Linked DNA regions of Mus musculus. The protein of the gene in region 2 interacts with the protein of the main gene of each other region in a pairwise test. Links are inferred from orthologs where the notes say so. Each region holds a gene or a part of one and is shown on either strand. Other genes may lie near its edges. The genes, in order: Rad23b, Usp25, Tnks2 and Syk.

The links.
Region 1: the proteins of Usp25 (region 2) and Rad23b interact in binary tests that used the Homo sapiens proteins (3 or more experiments, as listed by UniProt). The link is inferred for Mus musculus from reciprocal best matches to the Homo sapiens genes USP25 and RAD23B.
Region 3: the proteins of Usp25 (region 2) and Tnks2 interact in a two-hybrid assay, tested with the Homo sapiens proteins (2 studies listed by BioGRID and IntAct). The link is inferred for Mus musculus from reciprocal best matches to the Homo sapiens genes USP25 and TNKS2.
Region 4: the proteins of Usp25 (region 2) and Syk interact in binary tests that used the Homo sapiens proteins (3 or more experiments, as listed by UniProt). The link is inferred for Mus musculus from reciprocal best matches to the Homo sapiens genes USP25 and SYK.

The regions. Positions count from the first base shown.
Region 1 is NC_000070.6:55,380,421-55,385,363, reverse strand, and holds part of Rad23b (UV excision repair protein RAD23 homolog B), read right to left. Parts: intron 4,376-4,943; coding exon 4,248-4,375; intron 2,885-4,247; coding exon 2,749-2,884; intron 1,778-2,748; coding exon 1,650-1,777; intron 1-1,649. UniProt on the Homo sapiens protein: Multiubiquitin chain receptor involved in modulation of proteasomal degradation. Binds to polyubiquitin chains.
Region 2 is NC_000082.6:77,011,978-77,017,713, reverse strand, and holds the start of Usp25 (ubiquitin carboxyl-terminal hydrolase 25), read right to left. Parts: upstream 3,646-5,736; 5' UTR 3,619-3,645; coding exon 3,574-3,618; intron 1-3,573. UniProt on the Homo sapiens protein: Deubiquitinating enzyme that hydrolyzes ubiquitin moieties conjugated to substrates and thus, functions in various biological processes including inflammation and immune response.
Region 3 is NC_000085.6:36,832,072-36,837,467, reverse strand, and holds the start of Tnks2 (poly [ADP-ribose] polymerase tankyrase-2), read right to left. Parts: upstream 3,237-5,396; 5' UTR 2,931-3,236; coding exon 2,732-2,930; intron 1-2,731. UniProt on the Homo sapiens protein: Poly-ADP-ribosyltransferase involved in various processes such as Wnt signaling pathway, telomere length and vesicle trafficking.
Region 4 is NC_000079.6:52,637,550-52,642,492, reverse strand, and holds part of Syk (tyrosine-protein kinase SYK), read right to left. Parts: intron 4,456-4,943; coding exon 4,246-4,455; intron 1,889-4,245; coding exon 1,699-1,888; intron 629-1,698; coding exon 488-628; intron 1-487. UniProt on the Homo sapiens protein: Non-receptor tyrosine kinase which mediates signal transduction downstream of a variety of transmembrane receptors including classical immunoreceptors like the B-cell receptor (BCR).

The DNA.
Region 1 (4,943 bases), on a different chromosome or scaffold from region 2:
TGGAAAAAAAAGCAAACCTAAATAAAAACAAGAAAAAGATAAGCCAGGCACGGGGAGTCACACTTTAATTCCAGCACTGGGAAGGCAGAGGATCATCTTAGGCATGGCTGAGTCATATAGTAAATTCAATTCCAGACCAGCTCTATCTAAGAGTCAGAAAGAAAGTTAGTTTTAAGTGATTTCTTATATTAAGAAATCACTTAAAATATAAATATAAGAAACACAACAGTTCTGAAAGGTAAATGATGGAGAAAATACAAATTCTTCCAAAAATACTCCACTCCCAAAACAACATTAAAGAGCTGGGGGTTGGGGGGTTGGCAGACGCCTTTAATCCCAGCACTCGGGAGGCAGAGGCAGAGGCAGGCGGATTTCTGAGTTCCAGGCCAGCCTGGTCTACACAAAGTGAGTTCCAGGACAGCCAGGGCTACACAGATAAACCCTGTCTAGAAAAAAACAAACAAACAGAGCTGGGGGGGGGGGGGCAGTGTGATGGCTCAGTGAGTAAGTACACTGACTGCTCTTCCGAAGGTCCCAGGTTCAAATCCCAGCAACCACATAGTGGCTCACAACCATCCTTAATGAGATCTGACGCCCTCTTCTGGTGCTGTCTGGAGACAGCTACAGTGTACTTATTTATAATAGTAAATACATCTTTGGGCCAGAGTAAGCGGGCCTGACTAGGCCAGACTGGAGCAAGCAGGGCTGACCAGAGCGAGCAGAGGTACTAAATTCAATTCCCAACAACCATATGAAGGCTCACAACCATCTGTACACGTACAGTGTATATATAATAAATAAATAAATCTTAAAAAAGAAAAAGAAAAAGAAAGAAAGAAAGCAAAGCAAAGCTAAGCTAAGCTACCATGGGGGCTGGAAAGATGGCTCAGAGATGGTTAAGAGCACTGACTGCTCTTCCAGGGGTCCTGAGTTCAATTCCCAGCAACCACATGGTGACTCACAACCATCTGTAATGGGATCTGATGATGCCTTCTTCTGGTGTGTCTGAACACAGCTACAGTGTACTCATATAAATATAATAAATCTATCTTTAAAAAAAAAAACAAAAAGGGGGGCTGGTGAGATGGCTCAAATCCCAGCAACCATATGGTGGCTCACAACCACCTGTAACAAGATCTGATGCCCTCTTCTGGTGTGTCTGAAGACAGCCACAGTGTACTTACATATAATAAATAAATACATCTTTAAAAAAAAAAAAAACTAAAAAAGAAAGCAAGCTACCATGGACCTAAGTAGAGAACTTACTCTTCATGTACATATTGTATTTTCCACACTAATAGGCTATTCTGTGCTGTATAAAACTCAACTATTTTCTGGTCTGAGCATGAAGTATGCCCATAGGTAAGTTTCTAAGAGGCAATGTTCCACTCATAGCAATCTTATGAAAAGCAATTTCCAAAGTTAAACACCCTCTCAGATTCTCCAATACATTAATTAATGTACCTGGGGAATCTGGAAGAGGAAGTAAGCCTTTCCCAAACTAAATTAGTTAACCTATGTAAGCTGATCAATCGTTCTATCTCAATTCGTTCTTCACTATGCCTACGTAGAACACAGGCCATGGGTTTAACTGTGGTACAAAGTAAAACATTCCAATCCCATTTTCCAAATTAACATGGATCAGTCACCTGCAGCAGCTGAGGGTTCTCCCGACCTATCTGCTGTAGCAAGGCTGGCAGCAAAGAAGGATTCTGCTGGATAATTTGTCTCATCTGTTGAAACTGAGGCTGATTCCGTAAAAATTCAAGGGGGTGGCCTGAAATACACACATTTCAAAACAATAGCAATAAGTACATGTAACAGCAAGCAGCTAAACCATTCGGACAGAAAACATTATATATGAAAAGGACCTGCCTTCGAGTGTTATAGAGAAAGCAAGTCACAAACTCTCCAAACCCCAATGTGCCTGCTACCTTTGCTCTAGACAAGTTATACTAATACTAGCAAAGGATAGAACACTGAGAGGCTAGCCCACCCACAATGCCCTGTGAGCCACCACACAAAAAATGGTGTCCTATATCAAAATAAAAGGTTGTCATATTATTGCAGTTGCTCACAAATAAGAAACATAAGCATGTTTGTGGACATTCAGTCCTATAATTATGTGTAATAAGTGAGACTCAGGGACCAAAATTACCTAGTAGGTGGTGAATAGGAAATACTAAAATCTGAGCCAGAACAACGCCTCCTCTTTCTCATGAGTCCCAACTGTTTGCCAAAATGAGCAAGAAGCTATCAATTCAAAACAAAAAACCCCAGCTTTTTCGAAGTTAGCAGCTCAACCACCACCACCTCCACCACCACCACCGTTTTTTGAGACAGTGCCTCTCTCTCCCTCTATGTACCCTGGCTGTTTGAGAACTCTGCTGCGTAGAGAATGTTCCCTCAAACTCAGATATGTGTCTGCCTTTGCTTCCCAATGCTAGGATTAAAGGAGTGTGCCTCTACACCATGCCTGAAATGATACTTTCTTAGCAAGGTGAGGCATCCACATAAAACGGACACCGAATTCAATCTGTGACTAGGCGTTTCTAAGAGTGAACTAGTAGTGTAGCTTTGACAACACTGGTGTACACTAAAAGCCAGAGGCTCTCTTTACTGTGAGTAAAGAAAAAAAAACATAAGGTTTATTCAAGCATTCTGGGAATGAAGCTTAACCACTGAAGTATTTCGTATTAAATAATCTTATACTAAAAACTCAAGACCATTTGTCATTTGTCACTTTACCTCCAGAAGTGGTTGTTGTAGTTGCTGTCGTGGTTGCTGCAGCTGCAGCTACTGCTGGAGACTGAGGAGTTCCAGTACTCACAGCCTGAGGAGGAGGGTCAACCACAGCCTGACTTTCTCTATCTCCAGGGATTCCCTGCCAACACAATTTCCAAATTTTAAGATCTCTCTCCCTCTCCTCCCTCCCTCCTACACACCACACACACACACACACACACAATTAGAAACAGCAAAACATCTGTAGCTTATTGAACATTGTCTGTGTACAATAGAAGCCTGCTTATGAAATCTTACAAGTGGCCCAGATACAATGCACTGTAGCATTTGCATTACAAGGTAGCATTGGTCAACGGAATTTTCCAGTGACAGACAGATGCACTATCCAGTAACAGCTACAACCCATGTCAACTTAAACTCTAAGAGTATCAGTAAGTAAGGTGTTCAGTGCCCATGAGTTCCAGGTGACTTTTGCTGCAGAGGTTTTCATAATCTGACATTCCACTGTGAATGTCACAGTTCCACAAAGAACTGTGTTTGCATGAATCAGGCAACTGATGGACAAGCAACCAAGTCTCCTCTACTGACCTAGTGCTTCTAAACAAGTATCACCTAGAAAATGTCACACATTAAAAATAAACAAATAGACAAAATGGTGTGTAATGTAAATAGTTTACATTTCAAATGATGCTCTTCTTATGTTTCAAGCACATCTTGAAATTATTACAATTTAAAAGGTACACTCAGAGTTTCTACTTTGATGCAGAAGATTTAAACAAATGGCAGTTATACCCATTTAAAAATCCATCAAACTCTTGCTGGGCGTGGTGGTGCATGCCTTTAATCCCAGCACTTGGGAAGCAGAGGCAGGTGGATTTCTGAGTTTGAGGCCAGTCTGGTCTACAAAGTGAGTTCCAGGACAGCCAGGGCTACACAGAGAAACCCTGTCTCGAAAAACCAAAAAAAAAAAAAAAAAATCCATCAAATTCTTAGACTTTAACAGATGGTAATGAGTTCATTTCCTATTAAACCAAAGCCAAATTCACTTAAAGAAGAAAAAGCAGTGGCCAATGGGGGCTGCACTAAAGCACTCAAAACAGCTATTGTTCACGTGGAATTACAAGACTATTAGCAGATTCAGGGTCCAGAATGTCCATCAAATTCTCAAACAGAAAAAGTTCATGCTGCTTCCTCAGAGGATAACTAAACTTTTGCCCTAAGTAATTCCTAACAGATCTAAGGCCTGTTATTACAGAGTCACCTTCAGCAGAGCCTCACTAGTGTGAAAGGTACCACTCCAAAGAAAAACCACTTCATAAATCACCTCACATCATTCTCTAAATAAATCATTTCAGAATCTTTCCCAGAAGGTTCCATCTTACAACACAAAATGTTACCATTGGATGGGAACTTTCTAGCATGACGCTATCCACTGGATTGTTAACTCATCTATTAAATTTTCTGAAAGAGTCTGAAAGAGACAAGTAAAACACACTTCTCACCATTAGAAGATATTCCACAGCTCTGTCAGGGTTGTTGAAGCTGGCTCTCAGGGCTGCAATTACTTGTTCTCGTTCATAGCCCATTGACATGATCTCAGTTACCATATTCTCATAAGACTGACCTGTCACTAAACCGGTGTGTGGGGGACAAGGGGAAGAAAAGTACAGGAACATTCAACAAACATTCTCTGCATAGTTCTTGACTGCATAATGTCTATGGTCCATAGACTGCTAGGCTAGGCTAGACAATAAACAATGTAAGAAGTCCAAGTCCATGTTCTAACCCCCAGAACCTACCTAACCTATAAATATGTATGATAAAGGGAAGTGACCTTCCAGATAGACCCAATGTCATCAACAAGGGTCCGGGTCCTTAAAAGTGGGACAGAAACAGGGTTAGAGACAATAACGACAAAAGCAGGACCAGAGTTCTGCTGTTGTTTTTTTTGGCAGGTGGAGAAAAGGCCTGAAAGCTTCTAGAAGTCATAAGGAACTAGGCTCTACCAAGTCTCCAAATAACATACAGTCTTGCTGATTCCTTGGTATCAGTCAGCAAGATCTATGTCAAAGATTCTGACCTACAAAAATGGCCAGGTAACAAATTGTTTTATACCACACTAGCTTTGTGGCAACTTACAAAAGTAACAGAAAACTAGTAGGGATACCAGGTACCAATACAAGAAGGAATTTACAGGT
Region 2 (5,736 bases):
AGGACATTTTAGTGGCTGGCCTAGCTCTTTGGCCCCCAAGGCAGTATTTTTTTAGGGAACTGTTTTACTGCTTTTGAATTGTGGCATGGTGTGTCTAGAAAATATGATTGGTAACCATTATAAAAAATTATAAATATCTTTTTTTCCTTTTCCCCTCCTCCTTCTCCCTCTCCCCTACTCCTCTCAAGACTACTACAGTTTAACTTGCTATGTAGCCAGCTGGCCTAAAATGAGAACATTTCTGCCCCAGCTTGCTCAGTGATGGACATACCTGGATACTTATGGCAAAACTAATAAGATTTTTTTTTCTGACTACTGTTTTTGTATTTATACACAGAGCAAACAATGATAGCACTTTTTGAATAATCTGTTGTCTTGACTCTTTTCAATTGAAGAGGATATTTATGCCTCTATATATCCTCATACTACATTTAAAAATAATAATAAATGCCCACTTAGACCCGTTAAACACTCAGATCTGAAGAAGTTTCTCGTGTCTACAAAGTGTAAAGTTTTCTAAGAAGACTTAGAGACATTTCATGAGTTGCCCAAGGTCACAGAGCGCAATTTTGATCTAATCCACGTCCTGTCTCGTTCCTTCTACCACTTACTTTCCTGGATGCTTGTCAAGCCCTCTTTGTTTCTCAGGAACCAAATGTCAGTTCTTACTTAGGGATCTAAGGAGTCACTCTACTTGCTTTCCCTCCAACAACCATTCACATTAACTATTGACTGAGTCCTACTATGGGACAAGAACAGTTCTAAGTCCTCTTGTGCAGCCGAACAGGTAACTCACTCACGAGGCTGCTTTCCTGGTGAAGGGCTCAACTCTAAGTCACCTTGATTCCTGGGAGGAAGTTACCAATCCTTCCCTAATGAACTGGGATTTGGAATGTGAATGTATGTATCTAGTTTCTTCTAAGATATAATGATCCGACAGCAAGGTAAATAGCAAGCACAAAGGATGAAGATAGAGGGCCAAGAAAACAATAACCGCAAGTTTACCTGTACTCCACACATTGCCAAACCCTCTCGTATAACATCTCAAACCTCTCAAACGCTCTCTCTGCAGGTTTCCAACTTTTCCTAACTCCTGGTTTGGCAAACTTCAGGAATTAAGCAGAGACTACAGGAAGGGAAGACACTGCCCCTTCGAATTACATTGTTGCACCTTACTTAGATTTAAAAAAAAAGAAAAGAAAAGAAAAGAAAAAAGAAAAAAGAAAGAAAAGAAACACAAAGTTTTGTGTACTGTTGCTTTAAAAAGATACTAATCTTACAGCTCTTTACAATAAAAAGGAAGAAAAATCTTGAAAACAGAAAATCATTTCAACAACTATAATGGCCATTTACTTAAAATTTGTCAACAGATCTGCACACTTTTTAGAGAGGAGAAAAAAAAAAGAAAAGAAAAGAAAACTGCAAAAATTCTATCTACACAGCAGCCTGCTCCTGATAGCCCTTCCTTTCCCTGACAGTCTTTGAAGCTTCTAAGTGAAATTAGTTTCACTTTTGTTTCTTAAGTATAGAGTTCACTTCCTACTTCTTAAGGCAAAGTCCTAGCCCTAGTTTCTAGCGTCATTTTAAAACTTCAACTTTGAGTTACATTGTTTCAAAAGAATTTAAAACCATACTGTTTGGCCCTGTTCTAATACTGGTCACAAAATAACAGTGTATTAACAAGGCAAAGGAACACATTTAAAAAACTACAAATGTAGTTCAGTTGGTAGAGTTCTTGGCTAGCATGATGAGGCCCTAGGTTCAGTCCCCAACACCATTAAAAGTAAATATTCTGGGTGTACAAAAATATATGATGTTGCTCTAAAAGCATTCACCAATTATCAGTGAAATGATTTAACATACTCAACACATGCTAAAAACAGCATCACAATGTTAATATTTTGAATTAGAGAATATTCTCTTAGGGGAGAGGAGGCTTATTAAGCATGAATATTGGACTAGAAAACAAAGTTAACTTTCAGTAATTTGATTCTTGATTCTACAGACTTATGTATACAGTTCTGAGCCATCAAGGTAGTTATCTGACTATGCAAAGAAGTGGTTTAGTCAAAACGAAAGACAAAACCCATAAAGTCCTTGCAATCTTGAAGTTTAAGAGAAGCAAAAAAGACAGCAACTTTTCCCACTTTGAGATAAAGACGTTTTAAAATGCAAAATGAGTATAAAGAAAATGCTACTGAGCCTATTGCTTAACATGCCAAAGATCCCATGACCTTCCAACCAAAACTACAGCACACATTCAACATCAACATCTAAAGATTATAGTGTTCTAGGAACAACATACAGAATTGGGAGGCCAACTGTTTTCTTCGTTATTGTTATTCAGTCTTGAATTCTTCTGCCACATTACAAACTACATCACAGTTCACCATAATCGTCTCAATGTGCAAGAAGCATAGACTAAAATAGGCTCCAAAACCAACTTTAACCAAAGTGTCTAAAATAACAATGCACTATCCCTACTTTCCAACATTCTCTGACATCTTTGGTTATCTCAAGGAACATAAAATGCTAAAACTATTTTAATGACAAAAAGAAAAAAACGGGGGGGGGGGGCTGTTTGAAGGTATTGGTCTATTTTTTAGTACAACAGGCCTCACTTTAAAGACAAGCACAGGTAGGCTTTACAGCAAGTACCTAGTGTCAAAACTACAGCAGGGTGTGGCATCCATTACTCACACCGATGAGCCAAAGGAGGCTCTGGCTGTTCACTGTATACCTAATTGCTCCTACAATTAGAATTCAACTAAGCCAACATTTCCCCGGTGCTCAAAATGCTTTTCACACCAATAAGGGGGGAGGGGGGAGGGCAGAACAAGTAATGACCGTCTGCTCTTCAGGACATGGAGCAAGCTATGCTGGAGCTTTTAAAGATTCTTAAAGTAAAACCTAGAACTAGCAAGATACTGTTCGAGAAACAATATGTGATGACCCCCCTAACTCTGCGTGAAACTGATGCTAGAGTAAAGAACGAACAAGAGAGCAAGGTCAAACTTAGGGGACAAAAGATTTGAGTAACAGCCATAAAGGTCTCCTTACGCGCGAGATACTTTCTAGATCCAAGAGAGAATAAAATAAAGAAAAGAAAGAATAACCAACCAAACACTCTACTTGTACAGATTCCACCCTGGGTCGATGCGATGTACCTGCCCTGGAAGACAGGTAATTCGTTTTGGGGAGGTCCGGTTTTTTTTTCCCCAGAACAGCAGGCCTGGCACAATAAGACCTCCGAAAGAGAAACTGTCCAAAAGGGGTGACAAGTGACATTCTTGCAGAAGAAAAGGGACTGGAAAAGGAAGCGAAGGAGAAGAAAGTTTAATTACAAAGCCTGGCAGAGTGAGTACTGGAGGAATGCGGGGGTCACTCTGGGGACGCGGCGCCGTCGGTTCTGGGAGAGCAATCCGCAGAAGGGAGTGGACGCGAAGCCTCTCACTACTGCACACCCCGCTCCGCACGCAGCCCCGCGGGACCGAGCGCGACGCTCCCGGAGTGGCCCGGCCGGCCGGGAGGCCACGCGGCCCGTCGAGGAGCGGCGACCAGCCCGCGCCTCACCTTCTGCGCCGCGCTCTGCTGCAGCACATTCTGCTCCACGGTCATGGCCCCCGCGGCGGCCCCGCCTGTCGCGCTCTACCGGGCCCGGGGCAGCGACGCGGACGGCCCGGGAGGACGGCGCCCCCGCCAGCCGGGCGCGAAGGCGATGGCGGCGGGCGAACGCGGGCCCCGCGGGCAAGCGGCGAGACGCTACCGGAGAGCGCCACCGCGGCCGCCTCAGGTCCTCTGCGCCCCGATCCTCAGCGCCGCTGAGCCGCGGCGGCCCGGCCCATGGGCGCAGGCGACGGAGAGCACGATCAAGCCGGGCCGCGTCACGCGTTCGCACTCAGCTTCGCCTGACCGCTCCGGGGGGACCACTGCGGGCCGGCGGCAAGCGGACGGAGGGAGCGGCCACCCGGAATGGCGCTGTCCTCCGGCCGCCGCGACTCCGCCTCCAGCCCCTCCCTCGCCGCGGTCACCGCCCCCGCCCCGCCCTCCTGCCCCGCCCCCGCTCTGCCCCGCCCCACCCGTCCTAACCCTACATTGTGACCCGCGGGAGCGGAAGGAGGGGCTGTGTTGCTGCCCCGCCCCCTGGTGGGCCCCGCCCTCCGTCTAAGCTCCTCTCAGCGCGCGGGCTGGACGGCCAGAACCGCCCATCCTGCAGGTTACTGTGCACCATTTAAGGCTCTTGCTAAACTCTGACATTGCGACCCCCCGACCCCCAGTCGAGGCTAGAGCCATAGGACGGTATACCAGATCACCTTCCTGTCTAACGGTCTCCAAAACAATCAACGTCCTTCCATACCTGTAATGTCCCAAAACCTGGGCGGGCCCAGAACTCCAGCTATTTCCTATGTCACCCAAGCCTTTCTAGGAATTTCACAAGCCATGAACCTGCTGGAAGAAAAAAGTCAAATAAGCAGAACGCTGTTAGAAGTCCTTCTGGACTGTACTTTTCTCAACTATTCGTTACATACATCAGGACTGACATTCTGTGTTTATTTCATGCACTGGAATGTGTGACAGTCACTGCTAGACTGGGGATTTAAGGTTTATTTACTGAAGAGAATCTAAATGAATAGACATAAGGCAAACAACATTATGAAAGAATCACTGCCTAGATGATGCATAATTCTAATATCCCTGTTGCCAAATTAAACAAACGATTAACTACCGTATGTGGAATAGTCTACTGTAAACGGAATTGGAGGAAAAGCCTAACAGTAAGTAAGAAACCTGGAAGTAAAATATCTTCAATTGCACCAGCTAAACTAGGGACAGAGTAAGACCGAGACCCAGGGGAGGGTAGATTAATGAGCACAGGGTTACAAATACAATAATACAGTGCACATACAAGTTAGACTGTAATTTAATCCACGGCAAGAAAAGCAGGCTTGGTAAAGAATCCAAGAAATACCAGGTCTTATATCATCATAATAACTCGGAAAAAGTCTTGTAATAACTCTTTGTACTTTATAACCACATCTAATCTTCCTTTGGGATGTCTTCAACCCTCTTTTGTGATTCCTTCCTTGTATTTGTCATGTTCGTTTGACAAATTTTAAATTTTGACTTCATTCATGGTCCTAAATCCTTGACTACAAAGGTTGTGAAATGATTGGAGGTGAGGAATTTTATGGATACTGCAAGAATTCCAGAGCACATGCTGTTTATGAGAACACAGACCCGGAGAGCACGTGTCTGAGAATGGACCTCAGAGCTACGTTTCCACAGTTAGAGACCTCAGCGCTGTAACTTCTCATTCACAGAGTAGCTTTGTGATTCTCCACAGGGGAGAGAGTTTTACAAGGTCATTTTCTTCCATTCAAAAGTACAAAAATTACCTGAGATTTGAGATACTGCTCACTAGTAGTAAGCATGGAAGCACATAGCTACACATTTGATCTTCAGGACCACTGCTTTTAAAAAGTTAAAAATTAATGTGAAAAAACTATTACAATGGTTTTTTTTTAAATCTATTGCCAGATATTCAACTTTAACTTCAGGAATTTGGTAGTACAATAATTCCCCAGAGTTTCATTATTTAGTCTTAGTTTTAAAATCTTTAGTACCTACCTAGTAGATAAAAGTTTAATAGCCCACCTAGAGATTTAATTTCCAGCTCATTTCTGAAGATTTCTTACTCATTCAATGATTTTTGGCACACTGTCAATTGTCCAAGTA
Region 3 (5,396 bases), on a different chromosome or scaffold from region 2:
GGGATTAAAGGCCTGCGCCACCACTGCTGGGCTCTTTTTTTTTTTTTTTTTTTTTCTCTAAAAGAATGAATTCTCTATAAAATAAAAACACAAGTAACTGCTTGGTCAGGCAATTATCAAGTACCACCACCTGCAGAGGAGGATCCAAAAGTATGCTTGCATAAACACAAATGGTAACTCACAAAGAAAATGCTAGTGAGCAACTTTACTTAAAAATAAACAGGGCTGGCAATATGGCTCAGGGGTTAAGTGCACTGACTGCTCTTCCGAAGGTCCCTGAGTTCAAATCCCAGCAACCACAGGGTGGCTCACAACCATCTGTAATGGGATCCAATGCACTTTTCTGGTGTGTGTCTGAAGATAGCTACAGGGTACTCATATAAATGAAAATAAATAAATCTTTAAAAAAAAGCAAAAAACAAAAAAACCAGGGCTGATTGAGACTATAGCTCAGCAGGTGCACATATGTCTAGTAGGGCCAAGCAAGGTTCTAGTTCCATATCCAGAAAAGGAATAAATTCATTAGTGATTAGTGCCACATTAATCTAATAATTTGGATTTTAAAATTCACAAAGCCATTTTTTTTAAAGCTCCTTATTTTTTTATGCAGGGTTTAAATGTAAGACTCTTAAAACTGTGACTTAATATCAATTCTTTAGTGATTATTTTTCTGTGTATATGGTAGGCTAGGTGTATCTGCGCGTGTGAGTGGGTGGCAGGGCAGGCATCTTCATCGATGGCTCTCCTCCATCTAATTTTTGAGACAGGGTCACTGCACTGACCCTGGGGCTCATGGCTTTTCAAGTAAGTCCCACGGATCCTTCTGTCTCCACCTCCTAGTGTGGGGCTATAAGTGTGCATCAACAGAACTGCCTTTTTACGTGGGTGCTAGGGATCTCAACTCAGGCCCTCCTGTTTGCAAGGCAAGCAAGTACTTTATCCACTGAGCCATCTCCCTAGTATCTTTAGTAATTATTTTATGTTTTCCTTTTTACATTTTAACTTCTTAATTTTACAACCTACAACTGGCAATATAGGTGAATTTTGAGTGGTGAATTGCTCTCTATAATATTTAAATTCCCATTTCAATCTGGAGAAACAATATAAAATACATGTAAAATATTCCTTAATATGTTGAGGCAGGGGTAGGGTCTAATCTACCTCATTCAGAGGCCAGAACACTTGTCTGGCATGTGCAAGGTCTTATATTCCATCCGTGTGGGTGGGGGAGGGGCATACTGGAGCAGAGCTGAGGGTGGGATGGTGTGGGAGCAACAAGGTCACACCATAAGTCCCCAACCCGCACCTCAAAATACTACTATTTTCAGACATGAACTCACTAATACATTAAATTCTTGAAAGGTGGCAACTAAGATCGACCTTGGCTATTTTTATCAAGCGTACATAATCTAAGTAACATTACCCCTTTGGATTATCTAGCACTTGGTTGTGACCATTTGCCAAATAGGTTGGCTAAATGGTCAAGCAAGACAATTCAAACTAGCTGAAGCAAGGCAACACTGCTAACAGAGATTTGGCTTCATGCTCTCACTTCTCAGTGCCCACAGGCAAATTTCTCTTCTGCCCAATTGTGGTTTTCCCAAACTTTTCCCTTGCTCCCAAACCGGCAATCAATTAAGGAGGCATGATTTCTGACAGTACATACATTTTAAAATAGGGACAGGTCAAAGCAAACAGACCTACAATTGGAAGAACTGTAAAATCAATGCCTGTAAACAAACAAACAATAAATCTTTTTTTATACTCTTTTGTCTACCATTTTTGCCCCTAAGGAACACAAGAAACTAAAATTTTTTTTTAAATATAAAGAACTGCTAAACAATTCTGATGCACACTGTATCAAATGTTACCAGGCTAAGAGGATCTTATTTGATTATGAGGTTAAAAAGTTACAAACTGTCCTTAACATGAATAATCATTAAGTTGGTTCCCATCCCTGGCCTTTTCAAATAAATACCTCAACAAGCAAACTTCAACACGCTGGTACCACAAAGAGAACCCAGTAGTTAAAAGTAACTCCAAACTATCTACAATAAATCTCAGGATGACTCAAAATCCTAGATCCAAGCTCAAGTGCGTGTCCTATCTTGTCTCTCAGCTCACTTTCCATCCCGACTTGTGCGGGAGTAAGGCAGAGGCCACCCACACACAACCTAAGTAGATCTCAGGTCTCCCAAACATGCCCATTTCCGGTTTTAGTCTCTCCAGAAACCTAATCCAATTAACTCTAATGAGCCAATAGCTAATAAAATAACTCCTAAATTAAAATTTCAGTTTATGACGGCCGCTAGAACTTAAGGGGTTACTAAGAGTGTCGATGAAACTTGCAAACATGGGTCCATTTTTTGGAGATAATTACTCTTTCAAATCACAAGGTCTACTAAGCCTTTCTTGTGTGCAGAGGCCCTCCGGGGTAATAAGACCGGAAGTCGGGGCAGGTATTGTTGATACAGTAAAACAAAACAAAGCTTCCCCCCTCCCAGCACACAAACAAACAAACAAACAAACAAAAAACCCCATAACCTCAAAAACAACTTCCCGAGAGCACGCTCACCCCACCCTCATCACGAGCCCCGAGAGAGGAGGGCGGGCGGCCAGGGTGAGAGTCCTGGGGAAAGGTCGGAGACAGGGCAGCGCCGCGCGGCTTGCGGCCTGCAAGCCCGAGCCTGCAGGTGGGGCGTGCGGGAGGCGCCGCGGGGCCCGCGTTTACCTGCGGCGAAGTGGAGCGGGGTGGACTTCCTGCCCGCCGTGTCGCGGCTGTTCACCTTCTCGGGCGTCACCAGCCTCTTGACTCGCTCCACGTCCCCGTTGCGGCAAGCCTCGAACAGCTCGCGGGCGGACGGCTCCACGGCCTCGGCCCCGGCGCTCGCGCAGGCCGCGCCCCCGCCGGCGCAGCGGCGGCCAGACATGATCCGGGCCGCCGCCGCCGCCGCCAGCAGCAGCGCCAGCAAAGGCAGCAGGAGCCCGGGCCCCGCGAGCAGGAGGGCGAGGCCCCCCGCAGGAGACGCGCTCAGGGCCCGGGCCGCTCCGCTCCCCGCTGTCACCAGAGTCGGCACGGTCCCATGGCCGCGTCGCCGCGCGCCCCCGGCTCGGCTCCGTGAGCCCCGGCTGCCCCACCGCGGTGGAGGCAGCGCGAACCCGCTCGCCGAGCCCCGAAGCGACGCGACGGCGGAAGCGGCCGAGACCACTCCTGCCAGCTCGGTCGGGTCCTGGGAGCGCGCGTGACGTCGGCTCGCGCGTGCGCAGTGGCTGCTCTCCGGCCGGGCCAGTTTGGGCAAGCGGGGCCGCGCGGAGGGGTTTGTGGGAAATGTGCAGGGAGAGCCTTTGGCTGCGGAAAGAGAAGGGGCTTCGGCCCACCGCCATCTTTACAGAGCCTCTGCTAAAAACGAGAGGTCTTGCTGCCTTTTCTTTTATTAAAGCCTACACTTCTCGAGACGAGTTTCATTGCTCAGACACCGAAGACGAATCTTGGGAAGTTTTGTTCTGATTATGCATTTTCTTGTGCAAGTTTTAGCGTGAAAATCTCTGCAGTGTTGCTTCCGTACCTTCCCCCTGGGAGATTTCTCACCCCTTCCCCCTCCTGCCTTCTTTACAGTGTCTCTTCCCTTAACTCTCCGCATCTGCTTTTGTTTTTCTTATAAGCGTTTTCTCAGAAATGAATCCGTTACGCTTACTGAGAAGTTTGGATGAGCGGCCCCCAGATAAATCAAGAAAGCGAAGAAAGTTCATCTCAATTCTAAAGCAACAATTGGGGGGTGGGGTGGCTGTGATTAGCTCCGCTTCCCATAGTAAATTATTAGCTCAGCGCTGACGAGGATCTATACATAAATCAGCATTGCACCGGATGTGGTCGAGGTGCTGATACAAAGCATACACATCAAAGTTTTCCGAAGTTTCTCTCTCTCTCTCTCTGATCAAAGAATACAAGTGCACAATTCATTTTCGTGTTTATTGTGTTTTATTAAAAAAAAAAAAACAACAACAACAAGGATGTGTTTTGTAGAGCCAGGTCTGGTAAGGTGGGAAGGATTCCTGGGCAGGCCCATGCTGAAACATCCCTTTCTTACCCCTGAGGTACCAGCCATACGGGTGTAGTGTAGAATCGAGTTTATTTAGGGCATGGGAAGGGGAGTAGAGAAGAGAGTAGAGGCAGAGAAGGACAGAGGAAGAGAGAAAAAGAAGAGAGGCCGGCCAGGAACACGTGGAGAGAGACGGGGGAGGGGGGATGGGAGAGAGGGAGAAAGGGGTTAGGAGAAGAGTCTGAGAGAGAAGGGGGACAAACAGCCAGGCCTACCTGGCTGTTGCCAGGTAACTGTTGGGCGGAGCCTGGAAAGAATGTTAGCTGTGTTTAAGGTAGTAGTGACATCTTGTTTCAGGAACCCGAAAGAAAGGAATACAGAGATTTTGCTTGCAAGAAAGTGCTGACTTTTGGCACGCTGACAAGCATTTCCCCTGTGAATTACTTAACCTGTTTTTCAGGAAATCCAGTTTTTGTTAGGGAGCGTTGACTCACTTCTGTGGGAGAAAAGCAGGGACACTTCTTGAGCATTTTAGTAAATGTACCTTCTTATATGTTTATTCCATTATGTTCTTAGACTACTTAGTGTAAATTTAAATTGATCCCTATTACTAAATAACTATTCATGAATATACCTAAGGATTAGAACCTTACTACTATGATTGTCTCATTTTTCTTCATTTCATCGACTTGCCAAATATATTCCCAATTTTTATAATTTTTTATTTAGTGATTTCTGCTTATGTATTTCCTCCCAATATGTGTATCTAAACAACATCATACAGCATCACTTACTCACTGATCTATCTCCTCAACCCTAACTGTTTTTGTTTTTTTCTTTTTTTCTTTTTCGAGACAGGGTTTCTCTGTGTAGCCCTGGCTGTCCTGGAACTCACTCTGTAGACCAGGCTGGCCTTGAACTCAGAAATCTGTCTGCCTCTGCCTCCCAAGTGCTGGGATTAAAGGCGTACAACACCACAGCCCAGCCTAACTTGTTTTTAAAACACTTGATTACTAGAGAAATGAAGTTAACAAAGAAACCATATTAGGATGGCTGTTCTAAAAGCAAACAAACAGCAAACAACAAATGTTGGTGAGATGGACAAATTAGAATCGTTTTGGCACTCTTAATGTGATCATAAAATGTGTATTATTACAGGAAACACTTGGTAGTTCCTTACAAAACTAAACATTGGGACTGGAGAGATGGTCTAGTGGTTCAGGGCACTGTTTTACTTAGGACCTGAGTTCAATTCCCAGCAGCTACAAGGTGGTGCACAATCATATAGCACCAATCCTGGTATCTGTGGCCCTCAGCAGGCACAAACATGGTGCAGACAAAACACCCAACATAAAA
Region 4 (4,943 bases), on a different chromosome or scaffold from region 2:
CTTAGGCTAATGAAAACACTGTCTCAAAAAGCAAAGTGGAGAGTCCCTGAGGAATGACACCTGAGGATGGTCTCTGGGCTACACACACACACACACACACACACACACACACACACACACACAATGTGTTTGCACATACACAGGTGTGCACACACATGAGAACACACACGCTTACAACTAAAATACTTGATGTCATCCATCCGTATCACCATTTCCACTTAACTCTCAGGAAGGATGGCCTGTGCCTGGTGCACGTATGTGTGTAGCACAGTGAGAATGCATTCACTCAGTATCACATGTCATTCTCAAGTGAGTACAAGCGTAAGTTAGGTTGCACTAGCCGCCCACTGTTAGAAGGTGATGGGAGACCCCAGGGTGTCCTCAGATTCCAGGGGTTCAGGTTCTTGTGGCAATAACCCCATACTGAGGGATGGTTTCTTAAGTCCAAGAGGCTGAGACACAAAACACACAGCTAAGCATGGCTCACTCTGTAGGGCTTCTGCCCATAGGAGAACGCTTCCCACATCAGGACTCCGAAGCTCCAGACGTCACTCTTACTGGAGAACTTGTAGTAGTTGATGCATTCGGGGGCGTACCACTTCACGGGCCACTTCCCGTGGGTCTGGGCCTGGAAGCAGAGTGGACACTCTGTGATGCGTTAAGTCAGGTGTGCACACCCCGATGCACAAAGGAGCTGGGTTTAAGGAGTGGGGTAGGAAAAAGCCTCTGCTGAAAGTCACAGTGTCAATTCAGTGAAAAGGACTCGGAAAAATCTCTCAAGGATCCACCAGTTTTGGGGCCAAGGAAGTGGCTCAGTTAGCAGTGGTTTCCTTTAACACGCATAAAGCCCCCAGTAGTTCTCAGCCTATGTAGTGACCCTTTTGGGGGTCACATATCAGACACCCTGCATATCAGTCGCGAAATTACAGTTATGAAGTAGCGATGAAAGATTTTAGGTTGGGGGTCACCACAACACGAGGAACTGTGTTAAAGGGTCATAGTATTAGGTAGACTGAGTAACCCAATCGTGGTGGTGAATACTTATAACCCCAGCACTCAGGAGACAGATGCCAACCTGGGCTCCATGAAACCCTGCCTAAGAAAAGAAAAATCAATTTGTTTGATTTGTATGTTTCAAAGCAAGTTGACGCAAGCATTTAGAGGCCAGCAAGATGGCTCAATGGGTAAGGTGCCTGCTGCCGAATCCGAAGATCAGAGTTCGATTCCTCCGATATGCATGGTAGATGGAGAGAATCAACTTCTGTAAGTTGTCCTCTGCTCTCTATTAGAACACTACGGCACACATGACTCCATACACAGAGCAAGATAAGTAAATGTAAAACGAAAAAAAAAAAAAAAAAAACCACCACCACCACCAAAAAACTCAACATAAGATCCTAGTCTGAAAAAGATTCCAGTTGAGAAACATTACAGTATTTTTGGTTTGTGTTTCTTGATGGACAGAATCGATCTTAAGAATACTTTTCTCCAAGGTTACTAGTGAGATTTCTACCATAGTAAAATACAGAGAGCACACATTTATCTTTCTATATCTTTATAACCTGCAACCTTAACTATGCATGGAAGCTGTCCCCTCAGCTGCTCTGTGAGCCTGTACTGAGCTCTCAGCCTGCTCCGTGAGCCTGCACAGAGCTGTTTCCTCTCCCTGTTCTGTGAGCTTGCACCGAGCGCTCCTACCTTGTAGTAGTTTTCATCAGCACGCAGGGCTTTGGAAAGACCGAAATCGCTGATCTTGGCATAGTGCTGTGTGACCAGAAGCACGTTCCGCGCAGCCAGATCTCTGTGCACAAAGTTGCTCTCTTCCAAATACTTCATCCCCATGGAAACCTGGTGAACCAGCTCTATGATGTTCTTATCCTTAATGTGCCTAGAATCACACGACATCATTACCAAGAGTGGACGGCGGCCATTCCAAACACACAGCCGTGTCCCCCGAGTACATGGAAGAAGGGTCGGTCCACTCGTTCCTTCTTTGTCGACAACAGGACAGGCTGGGAAGATGACTCAGGGCGAGGACAGTTGCTGCGTGCACAACCTGAGGACCTAAGTTTCGATCCCCAGAAGTGATGGGAGAAAGTTGAGTGTGGTCACCTGTGCTGTAATCTCAGCACTGGGAGGGGATGGGGACAGGAAGAGGCGGAGGCTTGCTGGCTATCAGAATAACCAAAACCACACCAAATCAAACCACGCCAAACCAAACAGGCAGGACTTTCTGTTTGTGGGAGAACCTTTTTTGTTTGTTTGTTTGTTTGTTTTTGACAAGGTCTCCCTCTGTAGCCCCAACTAGCCTGGAATAAACTGTGTCGATCAGACTGGCCTCAAACTCACAGAGAGCCACCAACCTCGGCCTCTTTGGTGTTGAGATTAAGGGTCTGTGCTACCACACCTGGCTGTGTTTCGAGGGAATAAAGCAGAGAGTGATTGAGAAGGACACACACAGTGGCCTCTCCTGGCCTCTGCACGTATGCATGGGCATGCATACCCATGTACATGTGCATACACATATACACATACACACATGTGCATACACATATACACATACACACACTATATGATGAGTGTGCTTCATTTTCAGGCATGCTTTGAGATGGACAAAAATTCATAGCGCTATGGAGAAAGCTTTTTAGGAAAGCGCTCATCCTGCAAGCAAGAGGACTTGAGTTTGATGCCTGGCGCCCTCGTGAAATAAAAGCCAAACATGGCGGGCGGCCTGCACTTGTAATCCCAAAGCCGGGTAAGTGAAACGGGTGGATTCTTGGTGTTCCCTGCCCAGAAAGTCTAGCTAAACTGATGAGCTCTGGCCCATGAGGGACCTCTGTCTCAGAGGAAGCAGATGGTATTCTAAGGGATGGGCATGGGTTTGGCTTGACCTTTGGCCTCCACCTGCTGCACATGCTCAAACTCACACATCCATGTTGGAAATGATGACGAAAAGCTGTACAGAAGGAACCCCGGCTCAGAGGAATCGGGGAGTTACTCTATGTTGACCGCAGCATTAGAGCACCTATGTCTGGACCAGAATCAACGAACTGCTGCTGCCTCTTCAGATGCAGGCACTCAAGAGGTCGGCCAGACGAGACACAGATGGTGCCCCAGGAACATGTTTGTTCCAGGTGTTTACCAAAGAAGAATGTTCTGCCTGCTGGTGGGCAATGCCCTGTCCACACACATTGAGGATTTTATCACTGGACAGGGCTAGGAAGGTGCCTTAGTTGGTAAACTGTTTGACTTATAGGGATGAAGCCTGAGTTGGGACCCACAGTGCTCATATAAAAGCCAGGTATGCCAGTGAGAACCTGTAATCCCTGGGGCTCTGTTTGGCTGAATTGGTGAGCTCCGGTGTTAGTGAGAGACCTTGTCTCACGAAATAAGGCAGAGAGCTAACAAGATAGTTCCTTGTCTCACGAAATAAGGCGGAGAGCTAATGAGATAGTTCCTTGTCTCATGAAATAAGGCGGAGAGCTAACGAGATAGTTCAGTGGTTAAGAACGCCTTCTGTTCTTTTTTCTTTTCTTTTCTTCTTTTTTCTTTCTTTTTTTTTTCTCCTTTTTGGTTTTTTTTCGAGACAGGGTTTCTCTGTGTAGTCCTGGCTGTCCTGGAACTCACTTTGTAGACCAGGCTGGCCTCAAACTCAGAAATCCACCTGCCTCTGCCTCCTAAGTGCTAGGATTAAAGGCCTGTGTCACCACTGCCTGGCTACACGTACTGTTCTTGCAGAGGACCGGAGTTTGGTTCCCAGCACTTATGTTGGGAGGCTCACAAGTGCTGTAAGCCCAGCTCCGAGGGATCTGACCAGCTCCTCTAGCCTCCATAAGTATCTGCGTTGTGTGGCACACACTCACACCAACATTCACATAAATAAAAAAAAAAAATTAAGTTGGAGACTGAGAGAGGAGAGAGGGTGATCTCCAATATTGACCTCTGGCTTCCACATAAACACATCCACACAGGTGCACACCCTCAAAGATGTACACACACACACACACACACACACACAGAGAGAGAGAGAGAGAGAGAGAGAGAGACACGAAGAGAGACAGAGAGACAGAGACTCAGAGACACAGAGAGGAGAGGGAGAGAGAGCTTCCCCTAGAAATCAGGCCCGGCACAGCCCAAACTCGGGGGACAGGGCGTGTGTGGGGGCGGGGCCCCGGCACAGCCCAAACTCGGGGGACAGGGCATGTGCGGGGTGGCACCGCACACAACTCGCATGCCCCAGGTCACCTGTTCTGCTGCAGGTACTTGTTGAGCGGCCCCAGCTCCGCCATCTCCATCACCAGCATCCAGGACTCCGCCTCGCAGATTCCGATCATGCGCACAATGTAGGGGTTGTCCAGCTGCTGCATGACGTTCGCCTCTGCCAGCAGCTCGTCCTTCAAAGCCGGGTCGTTGGCCTCGTTCTTCAGGATTTTCACAGCCACGGTTTTCACAACTCTGTGACACAGATTGTAACTTGTGAGAAACTTTCCAAACTGCCTAGAGGTCCTCTTCTCTGTAGTCACATTGTGTGTGTGTTGGGGGGAGGGGGGTGGAGGGGAATGGTGCTGACACCCGCTGCCCAATGAGAATCTCTTAAAGCCATTCAGAAAAACAAAACAAAGCAACCCAAAAACAAACAAACAAACAAACGAAAAAAAAAAAACAAACAAGAAACGGCCATGGGCTGGGGAGATAACCCAGTGTAAAAAGCGCATGCAAGAGTGAGGTTAAGAGTTCAGATCCCCAGAACCCACAGAAAGTTGGATAGCAGATGTCTGCAACCCCAGGGCTTCTAGGGGAGAATCTATGGAGATTCGTGGGGCCAGCAGTGAATCCCCAGAGGCGGTTTGAAACAAGGTGAAAGGTAAGAGGTGACATCCAAGGGTTGTCCCTTGGCCTCTATATATGTGCTGTGTCAGGAGTACCTGCACACACACACACAC